Linked DNA regions of Arabidopsis thaliana. The protein of the gene in region 3 interacts with the protein of the main gene of each other region in a biochemical or structural test. Each region holds a gene or a part of one and is shown on either strand. Other genes may lie near its edges. The genes, in order: IAA12, IAA14, TIR1 and IAA1.

The links.
Region 1: the proteins of TIR1 (region 3) and IAA12 form a complex in vitro, tested with the Arabidopsis thaliana proteins (one study listed by BioGRID).
Region 2: the proteins of TIR1 (region 3) and IAA14 form a complex in vitro, tested with the Arabidopsis thaliana proteins (one study listed by BioGRID).
Region 4: the proteins of TIR1 (region 3) and IAA1 form a complex in vitro, tested with the Arabidopsis thaliana proteins (one study listed by BioGRID).

The regions. Positions count from the first base shown.
Region 1 is NC_003070.9:1,238,414-1,242,828, reverse strand, and holds IAA12 (AUX/IAA transcriptional regulator family protein), read right to left. Parts: upstream 2,536-4,415; 5' UTR 2,248-2,535; coding exon 2,045-2,247; intron 1,773-2,044; coding exon 1,486-1,772; coding exon of another isoform or gene 1,454-1,485; exon of another isoform or gene 1,405-1,453; coding exon 1,287-1,404; exon of another isoform or gene 1,214-1,286; coding exon 1,152-1,213; intron 1,069-1,151; coding exon 1,019-1,068; 3' UTR 672-1,018; downstream 1-671. Other genes in the region: AT1G04555 (uncharacterized protein), read right to left, coding at 1-86; AT1G04540 (Calcium-dependent lipid-binding (CaLB domain) family protein), read right to left, coding at 3,768-4,415.
Region 2 is NC_003075.7:8,347,890-8,351,870, forward strand, and holds IAA14 (indole-3-acetic acid inducible 14), read right to left. Parts: upstream 2,375-3,981; 5' UTR 2,035-2,374; coding exon 1,814-2,034; intron 1,623-1,813; coding exon 1,393-1,622; coding exon of another isoform or gene 1,292-1,392; intron 1,256-1,291; coding exon 1,120-1,255; coding exon of another isoform or gene 1,116-1,119; intron 808-1,115; coding exon 690-807; downstream 1-689. UniProt on the Arabidopsis thaliana protein: Aux/IAA proteins are short-lived transcriptional factors that function as repressors of early auxin response genes at low auxin concentrations.
Region 3 is NC_003074.8:23,272,394-23,278,577, forward strand, and holds TIR1 (F-box/RNI-like superfamily protein), read right to left. Parts: upstream 4,238-6,184; 5' UTR 3,789-4,237; coding exon 3,322-3,788; intron 2,589-3,321; coding exon 2,096-2,588; intron 1,911-2,095; coding exon 1,086-1,910; 3' UTR 672-1,085; downstream 1-671. Other genes in the region: AT3G62970 (zinc finger (C3HC4-type RING finger) family protein), read left to right, coding at 40-78, 168-305. UniProt on the Arabidopsis thaliana protein: Auxin receptor that mediates Aux/IAA proteins proteasomal degradation and auxin-regulated transcription.
Region 4 is NC_003075.7:8,359,314-8,362,649, reverse strand, and holds IAA1 (indole-3-acetic acid inducible), read right to left. Parts: upstream 1,655-3,336; 5' UTR 1,469-1,654; coding exon 1,311-1,468; intron 1,219-1,310; coding exon 870-1,218; 3' UTR 617-869; downstream 1-616. Other genes in the region: AARE (acylaminoacyl-peptidase-like protein), read right to left, coding at 1-95, 392-525. UniProt on the Arabidopsis thaliana protein: Aux/IAA proteins are short-lived transcriptional factors that function as repressors of early auxin response genes at low auxin concentrations.

The DNA.
Region 1 (4,415 bases), on a different chromosome or scaffold from region 3:
AGGAAGAGGAAGATGAGAACGTTGATGACAGTGAGAGCAATTGTTGCGTTCTTGAACGAAAACCTCATGCGCCATTGATGATCCATTATCTTATTCCAAAGCAAACCCCAAAAATCTAAACCGTGGTCTTTAGAATTTCACCAAACTTGAATTTTATCAAGGATCATGAATCTTCCTTCTTCCTTTCTCTACAAGACTTTAATTTACTGGTCTTTTGACTTTACTACTTATCCTTTAATCTTTGGTTGGACTTGCTAAGCACTGTATCTCCTTTTCTAGGTAACAAGTTAAATATTACCTAAACAATCCATAACCTTATTATATTTTGATTTGGTGACGTGAATCCAAACATTTGTTATTTTCTTTGTCTTCAACTATCAGATTAAGAATAAAATCTTTACTTTTCAAAGTTTATCAATTTAAAGTAGTTTGCAGTTTTAAAAGATAACTCTTAACGTATTTTGTGTGAATTTAAGAACAATTAAGGACAAAACTTTTGATGGTCAAAACTTTTCTTGTCATCAATCATCAATATATGATTTTGATGGTCTTAGAAACATCTTCTCTTCGACCAAAAAAAATAAACATCTTCTCTGTTTTTTTTAATGACACACTCTTCTCTGTTTCTGCAAAACGTTTTGACTCGAGTCAATGGAAACTTCAAAAAGACAGAAAACAACAAACCATATTAAGGAACAAATATTCATTCTTTGGAATCATAAACATAACTCTTATCACATTAATTAGATAACTTCAACTATTTACAATCTGAGAGAACAAATAAACAAGAGCTTTCTCTCACAGAACATAGATAATTGGTACACAGCCAAAGAAGAAACAAACTGGAAAACTACGAATTGAATGACCTAAGCAAAACCATATCCGAAAACCGGATTCAAATCATATCTAAGCTTCTGCATGCTTTTATCCATATTCTCCAAAATACTTTCTTCAAAAAGTATCGAGTAAATTGCAAACCTCAAACAATACATAAACAATGCCAGCTTTGGAAGGGAAGCTAAACAGGGTTGTTTCTTTGTCTATCCTTCTGCTCTTGACGTCTTGGAGCTGCATTAAAAATGATTCAATCAGTCTTTTTCATTAGTCAAGACGAGAAATCAAGAAACCAGAAGATGATCTTTAAAACTTACCTAGTCCACTAGCTTCTGAGGTTCCCATGATCCGAAGCCTTTTCACCGAGTTGATAAACATTCTAAACAAAAAGAGAGAAAAGAGACTAATCAGGTTTTGAACTACTGCAATACTGCTTAATATCCGAATCTTACCTCCATGGAACATCTCCAACAAGCATCCAATCCCCTTCCTTATCTTCATAAGTGAGTACAAAGTCTGATGATCCATCTAAAAGCCTTAAAGGTTTAACCTTTTCTCGACAAGTAGTACCTGATAGATAAAACAGAAACTATCAGTAGATTCATAGAAAACATCGGGTTTATAGTGTACGCATTTGAAAACAGTACAGACCTGTCATTCCAAAGAACATTTCCTCAAGCGTCTGAGCCAAGTTTTCGTAAGACGAATGAGCTCTCATATCCACTTTTCTGCCTATACCAACTCCATCCATATTCACCTTAACAAACCCTAAGCCCTGAACTTTCGGATTCACCTTCATTGACACATCTTTGAGCTCATCATTCTTCACAACTTTCTTCTCCCCGTCTCCTTCTTCCGCTCTTGCTGCCTTCATAGCTTGGTTATTAACCAAACTGTTCATCCTGTGTAACCCAATTGGTGGCCATCCTACCACTTGACTGCCACAACAAACCAAGAAATTTCCACTCAATGGCTCTCGAAATTCAGATGTAATCATCTAAACAGACATTAAAATGAACAAATCTTAGCATTTGCATGACTCCATAGAGAAATCTATAGCACAGGACAAGCACAAGCTCATCAATGGAGATAGATACCTAACTCTTATTCAGGGTAAACTAAAACAAAAGCACCTACACAATTCTGTCCTGAGATGGCATAACACTCACATCACAAGATTTGAGCTTTCTTAATAAGAAAAAGGACGAACCTTGAACGAGGAGGAGAAGCTCCTTGGTGAGAGGAAGATTCAGCAGAGCGTTTAGACCCAACGGAAGGAAAATCCTTAGCAGTAAGAATCCTCCCACGCTCTTTCCACGCGCCACCACCGAGGCTGAGCCCTAATCCCAATTCCAGCTCACTCTCCGCCGGAAGATTACTCTTCCCCACCTCCAATTCTGACACACCACGCATGTCAATAACAAAACCCTAGACTCCAATGATACCAGCAGAGAAAGTGTCTTTCAAATAACCCACACAAAAAAGAAGCTTGATGACACAGAGAGAATGGAGACAACAAGAAGAGAAAGAGTGTATTTAGGGTTTGAGAGAGACGAGAGAAAGAGATGATGAAAACAGAGTAAAAGAGAGAGAGAGAGAGGAGGATTTTGGTGGTGGAGAGAGTGATGAGAATTGGGACCCATATGTCTTGTAATGGCCATACCAATTTTTTCTAACCAAAAGTCTTCTCCTTTGTTATAAAATATTGTTTGTTTTCTCTCAAAACTTGTCTTCCGACATAATCAAACCTGTTGTGCTCTCGTTGGGATATCGTTGTTGTGTTTGGTTCAAGCAGCAAGAGAAAATAGAGAGTCCCAAGAAACTTGTTTACAGTTGTATGTGTGTGTGCAAGGTTTTGCTTTGTGTTGCTGTTGCATCATAATATAGTTCTTTTTTGTTTTCTTTTCCGCTTGTGGTTTTTTTCTTTTCTTAACCAAAAATTGTATTGCTTTAGCCTTTAGGATGAAGAGTCTCTGTTTTAAATACCATTTTTCTTTAATTTGGGCTAATCAAAAAATCTAAATTAACTTTTATATTTCATATACTATGTATTGGTTACATTGCTCCTAGATTTTAGACCTAATTTTAGTCTCTCTTTAACAGGTTGGCCATCATTCTTTATACTAGCAAACTCGTTTATGGTCATATGCCATTTGCATATTGACCATTTGATTATCTTTCTTTTCTAATAACTAAGATAATATATATTTTCAACTTTTTCCTTAGACCATGATTGTTGTCGAACAAGATTATAAAAGAAAGTGAGGGAAAAAAAATGGTGGGAAAAGATGCATTATTATAAAATCGTGGTGATGAGATATTCATCATTATGTTTGATGATCCTTTGAAAACTTTTGCAGGCGCAATTGGTTTGTGGAAATTACACTTTTGATCAAAATCATTATCAAGGAGTACATAGATTTCATGCTCTAATTGATGGATTTGATAGAAAATAAACTAAATAACCGGTTATATCATGTATGAATCAAATAAGTATACATAATACATGAAAGTATAGTTAGAAATGCAGAATTTGTATATTTATTTTAGTTTTTTTTAGATTAATGTTTATATCATTTTGTTTCTTTTTAATTTTAGTCACCATTGTCTACAATACCAACATTTGTTCACTCACTCTTAGATTTCATTTTTATATTTTTTTTATTCCACTCACTCTCTTACATTCATTCACAGTTTTCTAATTTTGTTGTGTGAGCTCACTTTCTATTAAACACTATATTATAAGAAGAACATTTTTTAATTTTTTAAAAATAAGGAAGAAGAAGAGGAATACACAAAAATAAATGATTTATTAACACAACATTAATAAATTAATTTTTGTTTACTATTTGATTAATTCATCAGCTCAGATCCTTAAAAAATATAGTTTTCCAAAAAAAATAAAAGTTAATATAAGACCAATAAAATAAAGATCACACAAAGCTCAGATCGTCAGCGGAATATGTGCGTTGCACACGTCCGGCTCCACCTTTCTTAGTAGATCCTTCTGAGACCATCGGCCCACCACCACCACCGCATACGAAACTGCATTCCACACCACAAATCTTACTAAAACACGAGAAAAGTCCATTACCTCCATCTGTGTGACGGCGGTTATGCTTTTTCGTCGTCGGAGTTTTCCGTCTTGAACTCATTCCTCCCCCGGCAGTTGCAGCTGGAACGCTCGCGCCATCGTAATCAGTGCTACTTATATGGCTTGATCCTATGTCGTACAACGGTGGAAGCTCTGTTCGCCATCTCTCGAGTTTTGATCGCAATCCTTCGATGCTAGATTCATCGATGCTCCATTCGCTGAGTATTGAACTTTCCGTTTCGTGCGATCTATCTTTCGCCAATTTGTCAGCCACTTCAGATGGCGATGGTCCTAACTCCGATTCAGTTAAGATTCGTCTTCCAGCTAAATTCCTCACTGGTGTACCAAAATCGTGATGAGTTCTCATCGGTGTAGCCATGTAGTTTGATCGGATCGGGGTTGATCCGACGATGTTTGATCTCATTGGAGTCGAACCAACCATGTTAGACCGCATAGGAGTTCGCATTGGAGTCGATCCAACCATGTT
Region 2 (3,981 bases), on a different chromosome or scaffold from region 3:
CTACGCCTCTCATGGGTCCTGAATTTAATAACGTATTCCCACGTAACTAGGAAAGAAAAAAGAAACTTAAAACCATGAATATTTGTTTTGTAGTTTTAAAATTGGTTTTGTAATGAAGATTTTAGTTCGTTTCAAAATCTTTTTGGAAACCATTTTAGTCAAAAAATATACCAACAGTTTTCTTAGTTTTCTTAAGAAATTGTTATGTGAAATGTTTTTAGATACATCAAAAATAGTTACAAATTTCAAATATAATCTGTAAAGCCAATAAATGAGAAAATAAAGAGGAAAAGAATAATAAAGTAGGAAAAGTGGAGATAAATTATTTAACGTAAATTTACCTATCATAAATTATATATAGTATTAGCATTTTAAATTTTAAATAGCAAAAATACGAACTCTATAGATTTACTATCACAATTACATATTAAAAAATGATTTCTACTAATTAAGAGATGAAAACAAAAACACAGACTAATTTCAAAAAAAAAAAAAAAGACATATTTAAAGTTATTTTTTTCGTAAACAATTATATTTTCCTATATACTTCCAATATTTTAAATTAAAAACACATGATCATAACAATACCAAAAAAAAAAAATCAATGCATATTGTCCTCTTTTTTTTTTGTTCATGATCTGTTCTTGAACTTCTCCATTGCTCTTGGAGCTGAAAAAAAAACACGAGCATTATTGGAAAAACAGAAAAGAGCCACTTATAGAAACGAACAGAAAAGAAAACTTACCAAGTCCAATTGCTTCGGATCCTTTCATTATGCGCAAACGTTTGCATGACTCGACAAACATCCTGAAATCGGGATTTGGGTTGGTGACTAAATTTAGAAATCTATTGAAAGTGAAAGAATATGTGCCAGCTACAAATGAGGTAACATATTGATGAGTTAGTATTTATATATAAACATCTTCTCTGTCTCTGAGTTCTGTCCCATGCCAACCAAAAGATGGCTGTGCGTGTTTATAACACATGGATATTGATTATCATTTTGTGTATTTTTTTGATAAGTAATATCAATAATAATGCTTTAGAGAATATTGTTTTTTTTGTTTAGAGAATAATTTTGGTCATAATAATGAAAGCAAGAAGAATGAGGAAACTCACGGCCAGGGGACATCACCAACGAGCATCCAGTCACCATCTTTGTCCTCGTAGCTTGGAACATACTCAGAACTGTTCAACAGATCCATCACTTTACTCTCGTTCATGAAATCTATCATCCCTTGTGCTCCATAACTCCCTTAATTAATCAAAATCCCAAAACTTATCATATTAATTAGTCGTATATGGAAAAAACTGTATCGTTAAAAAGAAAAAATTGTAAGTAAACACAAAAATAATAATGATAATTCGACTTATATGTCTGAAAATGCATACCCATGGTAAAGGAGCTGAACATTTTGGCCAAGGCATCAGAGAGATCCTTGTAGCTGGTGTACATCTTGAGGTCAACCTTCCGAAGATAAGGAGCTCCATCCATGGAAACCTTCACAAAGGCGACGGTTCCTCCACCACTACTCATTGCCTCCTCTGCTTCGCCGCTCTTCTGATTAGCCATAACATTTTTCCGGTAGTTCCTCACCGGTGGCCAACCCACCACTTGTGCTCTGCATAGAATATAACAACACACACACACATTCAATAACGTTATTACTTATGCATCCTTACATCTTTCATATATATGTATTTTAAGAACTTTTATATCAACTATTAGTCTTTTTATCTCAAAAAAAAAAAAAAAAAGTCTTCCCTTTTAAGGAAGGTCTTCTTCTTAAGGAATTGTGTAAATAGAACTTACTTAGCAGGAGGCTTAGAAGGGTCTTTAAGGAAGGTCTTCTCCTTGGGAGCTCCATTAGTGTTGAGATCCACATGTCCTTGTTTGTTAGATTGAAGATTAAGTTTGAGATCAACGGTCTCGGAGAAGCCTCTCTTGTTCCCAACACCCGACTTGGCCGGACTTTCAACGGTTTCAGTGCCTCCGGGGAGGCCAAGACAAAGCTCCGTCTCCTTAAGGTTCATATCTCTTCTTGCTGTCTATATATGTCTTAAATCAGAATATGTTTTCTCTCTCTCTCGATAACTCTTGTTGGGGGTGAAGTTTGATAAGAGGGGAACAAGAATGAGGTAAGGAGATAGAGTCGATAATATAAGGGACGAAGAAAGAGACTATAGTACTATACTATAGTGGTAGAAAAAAAACGGTTTAAACCCGTGATTAGTCGTCTGACTTTTCTAATTCTTTAACTATTAAAATACAAAGGTCTATTGTGTATCTGCTGTAGTGCATGGAATCCCTACATTTTCTTGCAATGTGGGTTCTCAACACGTGGCCTTCTGCTAAACGTTGGTAGGTTGTTTTAGTAAATCTCACTCTTTCATGTCAATAACCTGAAAAGTATAGGTGATGAGTGATGACCGTTGATTGTTGAATGATATTGTTACATCTCTTAGGTTTTGAAAATACGAACATACGTTTGCCCAAAATATGTTAAGTAAATAAAAATGAAAATATATTAAGATTCCGAGTAAATAAAAATGATATTATAAAAACATGAGTACCTCTTTCAACATGTCTAAGTAATGTCTTTATTGATCACTTCTATGATTAATGTACTTTTTTAATTGCCTACCAATTTGTTAGACGTTGCCTCCATTGGTCAACTCTTCACGTATCACATCACATGTATACAGAAATTGGGCGGTAAAAATTCCGTGAATCGTATTTGGTCAACATTATTATATGATTTAATCATATAATTATATTTCTTAAAACTTTCGAAGTCAGCATCGGTGAAAATAGTTATGACCAACTAAGTTTGATCCTAATTAAGACGTACAACAAATAATCAATGATAACAATCTTAGTATATATTTTACTTCAATTTGGACCATCTTCTCTCAACATTGTCCTGAAATTCCGGGAAATGATGGGGCAATTTTAGGAAAATGGGCTTGTTCAGTTGTCCATTAAATCATTATTAAAGAGCATAATCAAATTAAAATAAGCTTGTCTTCCGAACCTTCCAATCATGTGGTTCAAGTATAACCACACATGAACGTATAATTTGTTCGACGGAAAGTGCGGCTTTGTGACTATATTTATTAGCATGCTCAATTACATTTTCTTTGTTTAGACGTATTATAATCAAATTTCTTATCATTGATTTTAGTTAATCATTGGATATCAAAAATAATAAGAATATAATGAGCCGTTCAAAACTTAAATAAGCTAAAAGTGCACATGGATTTTACTTGCGATCTCTATATAAACTATACCACCCATTGTTTTGTGGTTATGGGATAATATCCTTTGGAAATCTTTGGAAATAAAATGACTATTATTTTAGATACAATAAAATATTCCAATGATACATAATCCTTTTAATTAATAACACCATAATGAATACTTTACTTAAAAAGTTAAAATATCCAGCAAAAGTTGATATTCAAATCTGATGAAAATATTAAAAGTTACAATCTAACTGAGTATTAGTAAATCAAGATCATGTAAATTTAATATTATCGACATATACAGTCATTTATATTTATTTTTATTAGTATTCAAATAATTATTATAAAACTATTTGGTTGATAATATATCGTTAAATTTGATCATATTACAAATAAACATTTCTTTTATGTCAATAACATTACTTACTGAGTGTTAATAGCTCAATTGTTAAAGACTATAAGACAAAACCTAGAAATCACCAGTTGTAATGACATTTGGAAAGAAACCATATAAAATGCTCTAGTTTGAGAGGACGTATGTTCCTAGGCCTAAACTTTTTAGTAATAAAAATAAAATAAAAAGCAACATCACTTATGCGGAAGCCTATCATATATAAACAACATTAATTAGCACAAACCATTAGTAAAACAGATGCACTACATTCATGATGGACTATTTTAGCATTAGCTTCCGAGTTCCGAGAGCCCAACGAATAATTCTACTTGCACTACATT
Region 3 (6,184 bases):
ATTTATTGAGGTAAAGACCAACCAACATTCTTTGTACAGATAAGCGCAACAGAGATGCCTGTTGAGTACAAGTTTGAGGTAAATGTCTAAAAATCCAACGTTGTGCCACCTCTTGGTTTGTTTTCCTTGTGCTCATGGTTTTACATCCGCCAAGAAAATGTCTGCAGGTTTCAATTCTCTGCAATGACTGCAACAAGGGGAGTAAAGCTATGTTCCACATTTTGGGACACAAGTGCAGTGATTGCGGTTCATACAACACTCGGAGAATCTCAACGCCACAAGATCCAGTGAGTGAAACAGAGTGATCATTTTCTGAAGCCAACTCTTCTTCATTGAATTTTCCCGTCATTGGTCCAACCATAGAGCGATAGGGCTGTGTTCTGCTTATTTATTTTTGTTCTTGGCCTAAAAACACTTGAAACGGAAAATATCGTACTGTTATATAAATGGTATTACTGTGTTTAGTCATCATGTAAACTGAAAATTTGAAAAAGCTTGTTTTTCATATGAAAAACAACAGTTCAATTACATTGTGTCCTATCACACGTTTGACGATGATGCTATTCCAAGACCTTTACACAGAGCAAGATTCTCTTGTTTCTAATTATGGTGATAAAGAGAGTGTAGGGACCTGAGACGAAACTAGGTGCTGTTCCAAAACCGAAAAGGCTGCAAACAGTTCATTAAGCGGACAAAGGAAATGGCAAAGACAAAGAGAGAGAGAGATAGAAAACATTTAAAAGGATAAAAGAGTCCAAACAAAACAAGTAGAACAGTTACATTTTTGACATTGTCTTTTAAAAAAATCTCTTATCCTCTTAAGAAAAATACCCCACCAGGATCTCTCAGTGTAAGTAGCCAAATAAACATACAACAATCAATAATTCTTACATAAATAAAACAAAGCTCTCTTAGATCTCTCTTTCTCTCTCTCCACTTATTCATTGCTCATGAGCTTGATGGTTATATGAAGCAGCCGAGATTCAAATTATTGGCGACCGAGCTCTCTCATGTTCCTAAACCGGAACACGATTATATGGGATGATGAACAAGGATTAATGAAAAATGTACCTCGTTTCTTTGTCTTATAATCCGTTAGTAGTAATGATTTGCCTGGAAAACCTCATTGTTGAGTCTTGGTCCATGTTCCAGACGAAGCCAGGCATGTCAAATCGAGGACCAGCCACTGTTCGGTATATGAAGACTCTCTCAACAGGGCAGCTCTCTGGTCTCGAGTCCGGTGCACCCCGTTCATCGATGACTTCCACATTCAGCTTTGGCATCTTCTGTCCTAGTAACTTGCAGGCTCCAAAACTCACGGAACAAGAAGACATCCAAAGGGATCGCATTGTCTCCAGCTTTGAAGCATTGGCCAAAAGCGCCTTGTCTCCAAACGGGCAGTCCCTTATCTCTAGTTTCCTCAAGCTATCGCACCCGGACAAAACATGATGCATGCCTAAGTCACTGTCTCCTGCAAATGCCACTGAGAGCATTTCCATCTTCTTGGCATATGTCCCAATGTATTCAAAAACCTTGTCGGTCAAGAGGCCAGATAGAGAGAGGCGACGGAGATCCTTGCAGTGCTCTACTATGGCTCCAAATCCAATATCCAGTGGCTCTAGAGTCAGATAGTCTGGGGCTTTTGGCTCAATGATGCACAAACGGAAGCGAGTCATGTTGGGACGGTTCCTAGCAATGGTTATCAATGCAGCATTGGTCATTTGACGGCAGAAGTAGAGAACCGACTCGAGTTTTGGACAGCCCATGGAGACGGAGACAAGCCCCTGTTCCGTCAATGCCACATTTGGTTCCATGACAAAAGGCTCGGACGGAAACACTCTCAGCTCGCGTAGGTCCTTGCAGGTTGAAGCAAGCACCTCAAGACCAGCATCCTCGATGTAGTCAAGCACCTGTAGTCAATAATAAGTTAGAGCACAGTTACAAAAAGAAAAAGGCTTTAATGCTTATAATTCAGATATATTGCTCTATATCATTCAAATTTTTTAAGAAAACTATGAACATAAGCTTTCTCATACCATACAGTAAAATGACCTATTCCAAATTCATGTGTTAATGTATGTTAAAATGGACTCACCCAGAGGCGCTGCAGTTTAGGGCATTGACAAAGAAGCTTGACAAGATCATAGCTCTGGACTGTTGCATAACTCAGATTCAAAGTTGTAAGCCGACTGCAAACCGAATAAACTGCTGGAAGATAGGCAGGAACAGCATCCCAAAATCCAGATAAGCACCTCAATTCCTTGCACCCAGAGAGCGCTACAGATAAACCAGAGTAAACATCTGGTCGCACTTCTGCAGTGTACCCACCAGTGCCCAATTCCTCCAATTGAGGTGCTCTTTGAAGTAAAGTAGCCAATTTTTCAAGTGGAACAGCTCGGTTAAGCTTGAGAGACTTGAGATTGGGACACCTAGTCACCAGCCTTTCCAGAGCAGAGAAACTGACCTCAGATGCTAAGCAAGATATATTGAGTGATACCAAAGAAGTGTATGTATCTGGGAAATGGCTAAGCCAGTGGCCACTAACGTCGTCAACATCACTCTCTCGTAAGTCAAGCTCTTTCAGATTCCTGCATAAGAAATCACATAATTAGCATCGAGTGACCCACATTATACAACTTCGAGAACATAAACATTGCCTACAATACATGAGCATAATTGTCATTAATTTGTCCAAAGTTGTATTTGATACAATGTAGAAAGATCACTTTGGGAAACTATCTAAGCATAGAACAATAACAAATTACTAAATTTATCACGTGGAAGCAATGTGAGAGATGCTAAAACAGAGCTAAAGCGAGTAAAGAAGGGGAATCCGAAAACAGATCTAAGTTTCCCAACAAGGTAAAAAAAGAAAATTGAAAGTCCCCTACAAAAAGAAAAGTAACACACACAAAGCCAAATTGATTAGATTTCCCACCTCAGGAGATTCACTGAGAGCGAATAATCCAGGAATAAATAGATACACCACCGTTAAATAAGACCCACCAGAAAGAAAAAGAGAGTGGCTATAATAAGAATCTTCAGAAACGTGATTAAAACATATATCTTTTAGATACGCAAAATCTTGACCAAACCAAAAAAAAGCTCACAAAGACCAGAGTAACATCAGCAGGAACAACGCAGCAAAACCTATATGCCCAGATCAAATAACAAGTACATGAATTTGCTATAATTGAGACTTTATGTAGTATAATGAATATACAAATCACACACCAATAAGTTTAATACAAACAAAAGCTTCTTCCTAGAGACACAAGGGAGTCTTCTTGATGAAACAAAAAACATTCAGAAAAAGAATACCTGCAAGTGGCAGCGATAGCAGCGAGACCATCGGTGGAGAAGCCTTCGCAGGAAGAAAGCACAAGAACCTTAAAATTCTTAAAAGACTTGGCTATGAGCTCCAAGCAATCGTCGGTGACCACCATCCTCTTCAGCCTTATCTCTTCAAGCCACGTGTAAGACGAAGACATGGCCTCAATCCATGGATACACGTAACCTCCCCATCCGTCAGGTACCAAATTAAAGTCAGCAAAGTGAGGTTTTCCTTTAAGCTCCACGGATCTCACTTTCGGGAACCTCCTAATCACCGTCGCTGGACTCACGGCGTAGCAGTTCCCGATGAAGACTTTCCTCCTGCACCACCGCTCGATCTCGTACCATGACTTGCACACCAGAGAGACTGAGTTCCTATCCTTATCCAGCTGAATAAACGAGAACACATGCTCTAGTACCTCTTCTGGAAACGACAAGGCTATTCGCTTCTGCATTGCGGCCAAATAACCTCGAGATCTCGATGATCGAACCAGAGGAAGAAGTTGGACAGCGTTCGAAGAAGAGTTGAACAAGTATATATATATAACTCCCAAGGTTAGATCTGAGGCGCCATTAACGGAGATAATCTAGTTTCAAAGGAGAAGCTGAAACAAAGATGAAGAAGATAGATAGAGAGAGAGAGAGAGTGGGAAGAGAAGAGAAAAGGATAGGGGGAAGGAGAAGGAGGTCAAGTTAAAAAAGCCAACCATGGTTGGGTTAAAAGTTAACCGTGGTCAAACATATCCATGTGAGCCTTTTCGGTGATTGTGATTGTCGATTCTGATGATGACACGTGTCTTATAAGCTTCAAATACCAGCCGTCCGATTGAATGAAAGCGGGAGATTATCTTATCGACTGTGCAGAGAAGGGCAGCCGCAGAAAACGGGACGAGATATTGGAGAGGGGGGGTCGGCTTATCGCGGCTTCTATCAAAATAGCGCGAGAAGGAGATCAATGATAGGGTGTGGTAAGGTGTAGGAGAAGAGGGAATCTAATGATACGCGATGCACGGCTGGATATGAGGGGAAGCCCCGTAAATTGCGGGGACCACAACAGAATGTTAAAAAAAATACTAGACTACTAATGATCTGACGGTAACAAAACAATAAAAAAAGAAGCTATTACTGTTATTTATGATGACATCACAACCGTCCAATCATGTTTTGATGTGGAATCTGAGCATCTATCTCCTCCTATTATTAGTTTTGCATGTTCATTTATTTACCCACCACTTGGATTCATAAATAAACCATCAAGACTAATCACAGTTTCATTTTCTATTTTCTAGTAATATATAGTATTGATAAATTTGATTAACTAAAGTGTATCCTTTCTCATAGCATTAAAGTGAAGTAAATAGAGTTGAATGATGAATTAACATAACAAGAATCAGTGTTTTCGTGTGAGATTGGATTAAAACATTATTTGTATGTTTTTGAAGATTGCTGAATAATTTAAATTAAAATTGAAAGGATTGCACAAAAAAGAGTAAATGTGAGGGAAGTATCCAATAATTTAAAGTGAACAACTTTTATGAGTAGAGAAAGAAAAAAAGAGAGAGAAAGAATGGATACTGAAAAATTTGAATAAAGTAGAGAAGAAAGAAAGAAAGAAAGTGCAGCGTCGCATTTTAATCACGACCGTCAGATCTGGGACCCCTTTTTAACAGTGTACGGACATACATACATACACAATCGTGACTTTTAAAATTAATAATTACTTCTTAATTAATTTACCTCGTCTGGGTGTAATAAACGTATAAAAACTACAATTATTTCGGGCTCTGTCGCAAGTACAACGGCTTAGAGGAAAATAAATGGGTATTGAATTGACGAGAATGCCCTTCTTCTCGAAACAGTGTATGATGGGCTTTGCAGAGTCTGAGCATGGAGTTGATAGGTCTGTCCTGCCCTAACTAAAAAAACTTGTCACATTATCAAACTGTTCTATATCATCTTCGTATTACATACCATCCTGACCGTTTATCCACTTAAACTACTATTTAAAATATCGCACCTTTCTAGTTTTCTTTTTGAATGTACTGTTGATTAGTTCTTAAACCAAAAATAAAATCTAAAAATTATAATGACATACATACAAATACGAAGATTTTAAAAAAAAAAAATGTAGCAAGCAAGTGCTCAGAAATTGAGGTAGTAACGAAGAAAGAGATAATTAGGAAAAAACAAAGAGAGGGCTGAGTATAGTCAGATGGGAGAAGTGTGGAGCTGAGTTGTCTTGCACGTAATACGCTTAAGTTTTTTTAAAATTATAAGTTTTAATGTCGTCAGAAAAAGGGATTAACTTACACTGATATAATAAGAGGTCATTGATTATGAATTTTTTAAGGAAATGATTAGAATAATAATCCCACGCATGGCTCCCCCGCGAATCTCTCTTATTTCTTTCTCCTAGTCTCGGGTTTCGTACTCAAAACTAGCTTGCTCTTTGCTGTCTATTATCCCTTAATTATCTCCCTAATTATTTTTTTAATTATCTCTTCAGCGATATTAGATCCAACTCTGAATGAATTATAAATTGTGTACCTAAAAGCCGAGAATATTACAGACTGCATTATACTACTACTGTTTATGTGAGATAGAAATATGTGTACGCATGTGTGGACGGACATATATAAAAGAATAACATAGTACTATAGTATTTACATAATACTACTGTTTATATATAAGATAGATGATGAGTGATATATATAATGCGATTGATGAAGAGGTGGTGTACAAGTACAAGTAAAGTGGCACGTGATTTATAAAGCTAATTTGGATTATGTCTTGATTATAATGACCTTCCCCATTAGTGGAAGCCATCCTTTTTTCCATTTTTATTCATATT
Region 4 (3,336 bases), on a different chromosome or scaffold from region 3:
CCTCTGTAGTTGGGTCCAAACCAACATGCAATTCTTTAGCCGAATCAGTTCCAGAAGAATCCATAGCTACAAATCTTCGAATCCAATTCTTGTAACTGAAACAAGTATCTCATAAATCACTAATGATTGCAAAACAATTCCATTAATCAGATTCATCATCCATAACTCTAAACCAATCAAGTTCTTAGTAGATATGATTGGCTTCAAATTCGTTAAAACAGAACAAACAAAAAACCAATCAAAGTAATAAACTTTCGGATTAAAAACTGTCATATAAACGATACCCATCAAAGCAATACCATCAATGATTCTCAATTCGTGGTAACACCATCAAAGTAATGAATTTTCGGATTGAAAAACAGAGACTGAGAGAAGAAGAAGAAGAGCTTACGGAGACTGAGTGAGTGAAGGAGTGATGAAAGTAGATCGGAAAAGAAGGCGACGAAGATGACGATGAGAAGAGCTCAAGTCAAATCCCAAATTGGTGGAGCAAGTTATTGGGTAGTGACTAAAGATTCTCGCCATCTAATATTAAACAAAACAAAAAAAAGTTGAAAACTTTCGATAGTGATATCCATTACATTGCCCATTTCTTAATCCAAAATTTTATATCTTTCACTATGTCCCAAACTTATGTTAGTATCAAATACTAAACTTTATTGGTTATGTTAGTATCAAATATCTTGAGCATACATATAAACTTCGTATAATCAAAACTCATCTTTTACAGAATTAACCAAAGCTAGTTTACATCTATATAACGTATTTGTAACCCTATTGCTTTTTCTTTCTTTACACCAAACTTTTTTTTATCTAAACAAAGTAGAATTTGTTTTTGCCTCGACCAAAAGGTGTTTTGAGACAATGGATCATAAGGCAGTAGGAGCTTCGGATCCTTTCATGATTCTGAGTTTTTGACAAGATGAAGAGAACATGTCCCATGGAACATCACCGACCAACATCCAATCTCCATCTTTGTCTTCATAAGTAGGTACAAATCCAGATCCTTTGTAGCCTTCTCTCTCGGAATATTCACCTACTGTGAACTTGAACATGTTCTCTAGTGCTTTGAGAAGCTCTGGATAGTTTTTGTACATCTTGAGATCTATCTTACGGAGATATGGAGCTCCGTCCATACTCACTTTCACATAACTCACGTTTTTGTTGTTGTTGTTCTTACGGTTAGATCTCACTGGAGGCCATCCAACGATTTGTGTTCTGAAGTTTACAAATCAAGATTCATTATTAGTACACCGATTGATATCAAGAAGTTTGGATATTAAAACTATAACTTTCAGATCTCAACTTACTTTGCAGGAGGAGGAGCAGATTCTTCTGTTGAGTCGTTGTTCTTGCGCTTGTTGTTGCTTCTGACGCAAGAAAGTTCTAGTTGTTGTTCTTCTTGTGCTCCGGGTAATCCCAAACGAAGCTCTGTGTCCTTAAGGTTAAGCCCATTGGTGACTTCCATATTCTCTCACTATACTTTAACGGAGAAGCTCTCTTCCTTAATTCTTGAACTACTTCTTCTTCTCTTGTTATTGCTCTTCTTGGGATTGTGATTTGATATCCTTGAAAATGCTTGTGTGTGTTGTGTAATGGTGAGGGAGAGAGAGAGATTTATATAAGGAAAGATGCTTTGAAATTAGGGTTAACGAGAGAGAGAGAGAGATATGAATTATGACGTTGTCGGGGAGCATGAGGAGGCAAGTTAGAGGCAAGGGGACAAAGGTGGGACACAAAGATTTTGGACGCGGCTTCTTTCTTATTTTCAACGGTCCTGATTTGTCTCCGCCAGTTGCGTACGCGAGATCCTAGCCGTTTCTTTCTCTTACGGTCAAATGAGTAAAGAGAAAATCATAAGAGTAAGAGAACTTCTCGACCTTCGTCCTTCTACCACACGATCACGCTAGGTTTATGTTTTGCAACTATTCGTTATTCGGATTGATTCAAGAAAATATCTAGATACATTTTGTATAGTTCAGATTGGATCATCGGATATCATAGTAGAAAAAATGAAACTAGTGTTGGACATGTTGATCATATAGATCAAGCTTTTTCGATCACCCCAGTTGTGGGGTAGTTTTCATGAAAATATTTCATTTTTGTGTAAAGGTTTGGTATATGGTAGAGTAGATGTCTAGAATAGATGATCAAATATTAATGGTCAATTTGTATCGAAGAATTAACAATTTCCTTTTATAAATATTTCGACAGTTTTTGCGTGAAAAGTAATGTTTTGTTTGCAAGAAACTATAGAACAAAATAATAGACAAAACACTGTAAAATATTATTTATTTTCTCGTAGACACATATATAAATTGTAAGTATAGGTTTGTACAATTATGATCAATAGTAAATAAATTGGGGAGGGAGATGCATGTGGATGAGGGTGAAGAGTGTTCTTAATGGAATAATGGATGCAGGAAGTATGGTAAGGCCATGTGATATGCTGTCTCAAATAACATTTTTTCTATTTATTTTATTTTAATTATTGTGTAAAATTTCATTTTAACATTTATTATAAATACAAATATCTATATGAAACTATATATTTTGTTGAAAAAGAGTTGAAAAAAATATCTAAAGAGATGATTTAAAAAAAAAAAAAAACCATTTTAAATGGGCTTTTGGGGACACGGCCCATGTGGTATTTCGAGCAAGGTAATACAATTAATCCCTTCTCGAAATTACGCATAACTATGTTCATTTAACTTGCAATTCCCATACCGCATGCACCTTAATTTGATGTTTATATTTGTGTTGGGCGTATATTCATTCCACAATCACTGTCCACTAAGAAATTTTATTGTCTATCTAGCGACAACGAGAACAAAAACTAGATCATATATGAACATATTGACAAATCAAAATGTATATGGGTTATTTTACCAATAAGCATTATCGTTTTTACAACAAGTATAAAGTAATGCTCCCTACGTTTAAAGTTTATAAGATGGTTGAACAATTTTTTGTCATTTTAGTTGTTGTTTTTGTTTTTCCATACAACATTTGTGTTTTAAATTAATAATTAGTACTCATATTATTGAACTATTATTAATCAAAAAGTTATTTCTAGTTTCTTATTCTTTTCATATTCATCCAAAACAATTTTTTTTATTAAAAAAAACATAAAGAGTATAACAAATAAAAAAGTATATGTATAAACTTGATCATGAAATACAGAGATGCTAGTCGCTAGAGGCTTGCGTGTTCAATATAAAACAAGACGTATGCTTATAAGAAGTAACATTTGTTAAATCTGTTTTGGAAATCCCTCTCATTGTGTGGGAGATGATAACATAATTGTAGAGTTTACATGCTATATAATAGTATAAC